2 linked regions of the Oryzias latipes genome follow. The main gene of each other region encodes a partner of the protein of the gene in region 2 in a complex. Links are inferred from orthologs where the notes say so. Each region holds a gene or a part of one and is shown on either strand. Other genes may lie near its edges. The genes, in order: cnot8 and cnot10.

What was found.
Region 1: cnot10 (region 2) and cnot8 share a complex: the UniProt entries of both Homo sapiens proteins name them as parts of the CCR4-NOT complex. The link is inferred for Oryzias latipes from reciprocal best matches to the Homo sapiens genes CNOT10 and CNOT8.

Annotation. Positions count from the first base shown.
Region 1 is NC_019872.2:29,383,687-29,386,853, reverse strand, and holds the end of cnot8 (CCR4-NOT transcription complex subunit 8), read right to left. Parts: intron 3,023-3,167; coding exon 2,878-3,022; intron 2,790-2,877; coding exon 2,679-2,789; intron 1,222-2,678; coding exon 1,093-1,221; 3' UTR 681-1,092; downstream 1-680. UniProt on the Homo sapiens protein: Has 3'-5' poly(A) exoribonuclease activity for synthetic poly(A) RNA substrate. Its function seems to be partially redundant with that of CNOT7.
Region 2 is NC_019874.2:7,745,395-7,749,969, reverse strand, and holds the start of cnot10 (CCR4-NOT transcription complex subunit 10), read right to left. Parts: upstream 2,912-4,575; 5' UTR 2,716-2,911; coding exon 2,685-2,715; intron 2,102-2,684; coding exon 2,007-2,101; intron 1,902-2,006; coding exon 1,740-1,901; intron 1,668-1,739; coding exon 1,514-1,667; intron 420-1,513; coding exon 280-419; intron 1-279. UniProt on the Homo sapiens protein: Component of the CCR4-NOT complex which is one of the major cellular mRNA deadenylases and is linked to various cellular processes including bulk mRNA degradation, miRNA-mediated repression, translational repression during translational initiation and general transcription regulation.

The sequences.
Region 1 (3,167 bases), on a different chromosome or scaffold from region 2:
CCCCACCGCTACGCCGGGAAGGCTCAACGCGGGGCACCGCCCCAGAAGAACACCCACAGCCCCAGACGAGCACCCCATCACCACCGAGGAGTTCCGGGCATCCCCCCGCCCAAACCCCAGGTACGAGCCAGGACCCCCCAAGGGAGACCCGACCCGCACTCCAGGCAGCCATCCGCCCGGCCCACGGTTGGTCCAGGAAGGAGCAAGGCAGGGGCCAGCCGTCCCCGCCCAGGAGGAGGACACCCCAGGGAAGAGGGGGTCCACAATAAGTGTTGTAAACATGGCCCGACCGGCGAGGCCCAGCACTCTTTCCTCTGATCTCTTGATCACACAGGAGATCCAAAGTTCTGCTGCCCGTCACGTCCACTAAGTTTCTGTCAAAGTTCTTTCTTTCCCTGCTGCCTTTTCTCTTAGTCTGCTGCAGAACACGCCTTCGTCCACCTTCCAGCAGGAGGAGCAGAGATGATGCTGAAGACCCCTGTTCTGCCCCACCTGTAAGAACCGAGGACCAGGTTTAGCCCAGTTTCCCCAAGCATGCTCGTCCTCTCTTTCCTAAAACATGACTCGGCTCTAGATCCCGGTTCTGACGAGTCATTTCTGAGCATCGCTTTGACTTGACCACAGAGGTGTTTGAAGAACAGAATAAAAGGATTGTCCAGAAATGACCAAACGCTCCACGATTACACTGAAAATACAAAACAATTTAATATACAACTGTTGACAACGATGCAGAATGTAAAAACAGTGAGCGGAAGAGTGTGGTCTGCTGGAGAACCACCACCTTCTGAGTGGACATGAGCTAAAACATGTTCATTTACATGAGTGTAACCTACAAGGAGATCCTGCTGGGGGGCAGAATCATCCTGAAGCTGGTCCCATGCTGCAAATGAGGCGTTTTAAAAAGTGTTTGGAAATGAAGTAAAAAGTGACTAAAAGAAAGAGCGAGCCCGGGGAGGGGGCCACTGCTGACTGCCATGAGGGGCGGGGCCACTGCAGCCTGCAGAGGCGGTGAGGGCTCACATTGGGGTATTTAGTGAGAAGATGGGAGCAGAAACCCGCTGGTTGGCTTTTAAAACACTCTGGGGGGGGGGCTCAGTGCTTGTTGTTGGCCTCATCGCCCGTGGAGCCGGCGAGGCCGTTCTGCGGCTGACTGGAGCCGGAGCCGAGGCCGTACAGCCTCCCGCAGTATTTGGCGTCGTCGATGTTGTCCTCGAAGAAAAGCTGCGACAGACAAACAAACGAGTCTGTTGGGATTATTTCTGCACCACCTTCACACTGAACCAAACATCCACAAACCTGCAGACAATTAAGAAATGACATTTTTGATGTGTTCATAATAATCCAGCTGATGCTAAAGTTTCACATTTTCAGATGAAATAAAATGAAATAAATGAAACAAAGCAGCCTTTTTATTGAACTGCGGCGACTTTATTAGGCACACCTGTCCAACCAGCCAATCACATGGCAGCAGCTCTGTGCATTAATTAGACATGGTCCAGACGATCAAACCGAGCATCAGAACGAGGAAGAAAGGTGATTGAAGGGACTCTGAACGTGCTTGTTGGTTCCAGACGGGCTGGTCTGAGGATTTCAGAAACTGCTGATCTACTGGGATTTTCACCCACAACCATCTCTAGGGTTTACAAAGAACGGTCCTTAAAGAGAAAACATCCAGAGAGCAGCAGTTCTGTGGATGGAAATGCCTCGTTGGTGCCAGAGGTCAGATTGGTTCCAGCTGATAGAAGACAACAGGAACTCAAAGAACCACTGGTTCCAACAGAGGTCTGCAGAAGAGCATCAATGAAAGAACAACCCGTCCAACCTGGAGGCAGATGGACTACAGCAGCAGAAGACCACACCGGGTACCACTGCTGTCAGCTAAGAACAGGAAACTGAGGCTACAATTCACACAGACTCACCAAAACTGGACCATAGAAGATGGAAAAACGTTGTCTGGTCTGATGAGTCTCCATTTCTGCTGCCACATTCAGATGGTAGAGTCAGAATCTGGCCTCAACAAAATGAAAGCATGGATCCATCCTGCCCTGTATCAACGGTTCAGGCTGGTGGTGGTGGTGTCATGGTGTGGGGATGTTTTCTTTGTACCAACTGAGCATGGTTCCAGCACCACAGTCTACCAGAGTATTGATGCTGACCATGTCCATCCCTTCATGACCACAGTGGACCATCTTCTGATGCTACTTCCAGCAGGATAAGGCTCCATGTCATGAAGCTGGAATCATCTCAGACTGGTTTCTAGAACATGACAATGAGTTCTCTGGACTCAAACTGCCTCCACAGTCACCAGAACCCAATAGAGAACCTTTGGGATGCGGTGGAACTGGAGATCGGCATCATGGATGTACAGCTGACAAATCTGCAGCAACTGATGCTGTCATGTCAACATGGACCAAAGTCTCTGAGGAATGTTTCCAGAACCTTGCTGATTCTAAACCACAGAGGATTAAGGCGGTTCTGAAGGCTAAAGAGGGTACAAGCAAAGTGGAGCTGCTAAAGTGGGTGAGTGTATGTCCACACATAAAACACTAAAGATCTACAATTCTACGCATTTATAAATGCATTTCTCGAAAGACATTTTATAAACCATCTAAGCAGATTCACAAAAACTTCCAGCTGCAACAGAACAGCTGTCAGCCGGAAAACGATGAAGACTGTACCTCCTTCATCCTGAAGAAAGCCATGCCCGTGAGCAGCGAATCCGACCCCGCCTGATGCTGCCGGCCAATCCTCTTCAGCTCCAGCTGATCGGCCACTTCCTGCAACCCCCCCTGCAGGAACAAGCGGAGACGGAGTGAGACGGCTCCACGTTCCTCGGGGATGTAGAAAGCAATAAACCCTGTGACCCGCAGGCCTTACCTTCAGACTTTTGCAGCTCTTCATCAAATACTTCACATCGTAAATTGCAGGAAAAAACAAGTTTAAGATCTGAAAGAACTCGTGTTCCTCCTCTGGAAGCCGCGCATCCGTCAGGAGTTTCACCAGATAGCCAAAGTCATAACCACTGAGACAAAACAAAAATTATTAATGATTAAAAACTCAGAGAATCAACTCCTCTAGACATTGAACAGTTTCAGAGGTTCTGCAAAAGTTTACTATCAATGTGAATAGAAGCAGCATCCCAGAAACCTTTTCTAGATCGTGTCTGT
Region 2 (4,575 bases):
GCTTCCGTCTCTTCAGACTCAGTTTAAAAAACAGTTTTTTTAAATCACATATATCATTTGCTCCTGAGTATAAGTCACACCCCTGCCCAAACTAAAAAGCTATTTATACTCCGAAAGATACCATAACTCTGCTTTTCAACATCTTTGTTCTTGTAAATCATTAGGATTTAAGGTTTAACATTTACCTAAGGGACAGAAAAAGGTTAAACAAATCTAAGTAGAACAAAGCCTCCTCCTGTAAATGAGGCGTCTCTTCATCACACTGCCGGCGCCGCTTACCTCTCCTTTCCCGTTCCTGCTGCCGCCCTGAGCAGACAGCTTATCCAGCACGGCGAGCAGGTGCAGCGCCTTCTCTGGCTGGAAGGTCAGCAGGTACAAGTCCACCAGGAGGAAGCAGACGGCCTGAGCAAACTTCTCTTCTGGGACAAATGAAAAAGTCTTTACACACACAGCCGAGAGCAGACCTGATGTAAGGCACGCCATGCATGGAGCAATCCCCCCCAGTCCAGTCTGCACCAGCAGGCTTCCTGTTGGGTCAGACTGTGCGGGACGCGTCCCTGAGGATCAGGACGGTGACTGTGGGAACTTGATCCATCACAGGAGCTTTCAGACAGAACGTTGCAGAAAAAAGCTGAACCCACAGGCGCTGAGAACAGATCCTGCTGCACAACATGCCGTCTGAAGATGGACAGCCTGAAGATGTGGCTCAAACCAAGACTTTTAACTTCATCATTGAAGCTGGTTTGAAAAGAAAAGTATCAGCTGATTGGTCAGATCACAAAGAAAGCTGGGATGTTTACATCAGAAAAGGCAGCACCAGCATAAATCCAGGTTTGACCTCTCATTACATTTACAGACACTACAATGGAGACGATGCTTCCATTTGAGGGTATTTGGGATCAAAAAGGAGGCGTGATCTGGTGACTGACAGGTGACTTTGGGTGTGCCCCCCCCAACATCTGACATTTCCCATTATTGGAAAAGCTAGAAGTTTGTAGAATCTGGTTGAAGAGCAACTACCAGGGAGCTGAAAACTCGTCAACTGAGCTCAGCACAGACCTTAGGGTCACATGACCAAAGATGGTGTGTCCATGCACTAAACCTCATTGGACATTCATGAAGACTTCTCCACATCTGTGTTTAATGTATTTACTATTTAAATCATAATGGAATCCAGGTTTGAGCAGTCCAGGCCCTGTGGGGTTTGAAGAGGAACCGGTTCTACGTGGCCTTCATGTGAAAAATGCCGTGGAATGTTCCTTTAGTCCCCTGGAGAATTGGAAGCTGTGAATCGGAAGCCAACTTCAGCGTCGTCAAACACTCCAGGTCCATAATCAATGAGGCTGCAGGGACTCTCCATTTCTGAAACAGACCTCTCTGGGACACAACAGGACCCCAGTGTTCTCACAATGTGACCTCAGTGACCCCCATGTGAACGTCCAGACGCAGAGCAGAGCATGCACCTGTGCCACAGACAGCGGCAGGCGGGGAGTCTGCCCTGCTGACTACTCACCAAACGGCTCCAAGAACTGGTAGAGCTTCTCTCCAATGGAAATGGCCTCAGAGAACTGCTTCAAGTGGTAACAGATGACCGCTTGATTGTAGTACAGCAGGCTGTTCTCCACGTCGTCCAGGCCATCGGCGTCTTCCGTCAGCGATGAGTGGAGCTGGCGGACACAGTCGGCCAATCAAACGTCTCATAACGTATTAGAGTGCAGGTGTCGGTGAGCTGCTGTTACCCGGTTCTTCATGGCCATCAGCGTCTGCCTCAAAGTGCCCGTGGTGGTCTGACTGCTCCTGTAGAACTCTGTGACGGCCTTGTTCATGGCGATCTTGTAGTCCTCTTTGTTGAACTCCAGCAGGGCTTCCAGGTGCTTCATGGACTCTTCGTACCGTCCAGCCTGTGAGACACAGAGGCTTCACGTCGTGTGGCATTACCCAGCTCCAGCCTCCACCACATGCACCAAAACCTGTTCTGCTGACGATCCGAAGAGAGACGGACTTACCAAGAAGCACTCGTACGCACTCGAGGCCAGCTCCTTCTCCTGGTCGCTCATGCCCGTCACACCCGAGCCGTCATGCTTCTCCTCGTTGCGTTCGGCTGAAATTGCAACAGAGGAGACATCAAACCCTCTGAGTTCCACCTGAGGACGGAATGCGTGGCTCAACCAGAACCCAAAGGGCGCCATGTCTCTGCAGTCCTTCCCTCTCACTCTGGAGGCTTCAGACCCCACATGGTAACTTCCTAAGACCATTTCTGAAAATCCCTCTCATTTAAGGCAGATATTGTAGCCTTAAGTTTAGCAAAAGAATGTCACGTGTATGACGACGTAATGACCTTCTCTCAGTTTATTGTGGGACGCGTCTGTTCATGGCCAAGCTGGGGTTCCTTCATACGTGGTGTTGTGTCTGAGTTATGGTCTGTCCTGTCATAGTTCCATGATGAGCAGCAGGACCTGCTTGGATCACCTCAAGAACTTTGATCTAACCACAGTCTGCTCAGTATTATCTGCACCCCAACTTCGGGACGGTTACCTGGGAGTCCTGGATCTGCCACGGGGCTGTCGGGCTACCTCTAATGTCTTTTGGGGGGGTTTCAGCTACACTGACGGATCATCATCATGCAGAAGCAGCCGCTAACTGAGCAGCAGCTAGTTAGTAGCATCATCAGCCGGAACACCCACCGGAGTTTTCGGCCATTTCCCGGGTCTTCATCCACAATCCAGCCGCGGAGCTGTAGGAGAACACAAGAACAACGCCGGGAAGAGGAAATCCTGAATATCCAACTGGAAAGAGTTTTACACGAACCGGACCAGCTCTGTTTGTGGTCGGCTTCAGTGACTGACTGCTGTAGCCGCTTCTCTTGGTTCTTCTTCGGTCACTGGCGCCATCGACACCAGCGCACGGTTTGTCAACAGCGCCCCCTTTGGAAGTAACTGTCCATGGTAAGAATGAGAGCACGCGCCGTCTTTTTTTATTTTGAATAAACTTTATTTGTAGTTAAGTATAAACAAACTTTATTAACAAAATCTAACATCCGTCCTATCGAGTCAGGCTGCTGATCAGGTAGAAGACAGTTCTGTGGCTTCATTAAATGAGCTCAATAGTGGAACTTCTCCACTTCCAATATCTGTCTGTCAGTAAAAGGCAGAGAATGAAACAGTCAGAAACTCTTTAGGATGTATCTGCTCAGCTGATCAGTCTGCTCCTGTTATTTGCAAGATTCTTTTCTGACTTCCTTGCTCTTTTCCTTTTGGGTCAACAGCTGCCTCGTCAATGAGGATCGGCACACATCCAGCTTCTTCTCCAAGTCCTGCAGGGGTATACGCATGGATTAGTTCAGTGACACCTGATGATGCTGCTCCTCCTCCTCCTCAACTGTATCTTCCAGTCCTTCTCCTCAGTGGCTATGGTCAGTCTGATGGTGCGCCTCTTTCTTCAGCAGGCTGGGCGGATCTCTGAGCAGCTGCTGGAGATTGTGTCTTGTAGCATCAAGGTGTCAACACAGGTGTCATTGAGCTACTTACCCAAAGCCTCTGTCTCCTTCTTGTGCCTTATCACATCTAGTTTGGTTTTTTCTTGTTAACTACAATAACCTCAGTGAGAAATGAAATACCAGATGCAAGTTAAAGGTAAACTGTTCCTTGTTCTCCAATGGACAGGAGAGGGAAAGGTGAGGCGAGGTAGAAGAAGAAACAGAGGAACTAAAACAGATTAATGGAAACTTCAAATAATAAGGAGACAACGTGAAGAAAAAGAGGCAGAGATGGAGTTAAGAAAGAACATAGAGGAAACAGCTAATCAAGGAGACGAGGATGGGAGCCATCCCCAAAACATAACACACCCAACCACCCCCACCCATGTCCTGCAAATTCCCTTCAACAGGGTTCAAATATAACAATGCCGCTGGGCTGCAAGGTGGAACAATGGTTAGTGCTGAGAAGGCCCCAGTTTAAATCCCGACTGGGACCTTTGTCTGTGGAGTTGCCTGTTCTCCTCATGCATGTGTGGGTTTTCTCCAGGCACTCCAGCTCCCTCCCACAGTCTAAAAACATGCTTCATTGGTTAATTGGCTACTCTAATAGTGTCCCTATAGGTGTGCATGTGTGTGTGATTGTGTGCCCTACGACAGACAACACTGTGACACAGAAATGGATGGATGGATGGATATGACAAATTCAAATGAAACCACAAGTGTGTCCCACACTGAACCGGTTTAATCTGAAATCAGGTGCAAACGCAATCATGTGGATGCAGAACAAAATAAAATAACAGCATCGATGAATTACAACAAATCATCTTTAAGCTGAGATAAAACAAAAGCTTTTTTTCCCTGGTAATTGCAATGTCAACACAGAAAACTTGTGTGTAATTTGCAGCTGATTCTAGACAGGTGATTGTGAGTAAAAGGTTGAAAACGAACAGCACCTGTTGAGCACAAGCTGTGCTCAGCGAACCTATTGGCAGAATTTTCCTTGAAGGAGAAAAAACGAATCCATGAAGTGGCAGAAGGAGAGGCTGCTGGAGGTGGTGAAGCAGTTCCCTTCAATTAGAGTTCATCTGGACAGGAGAGTA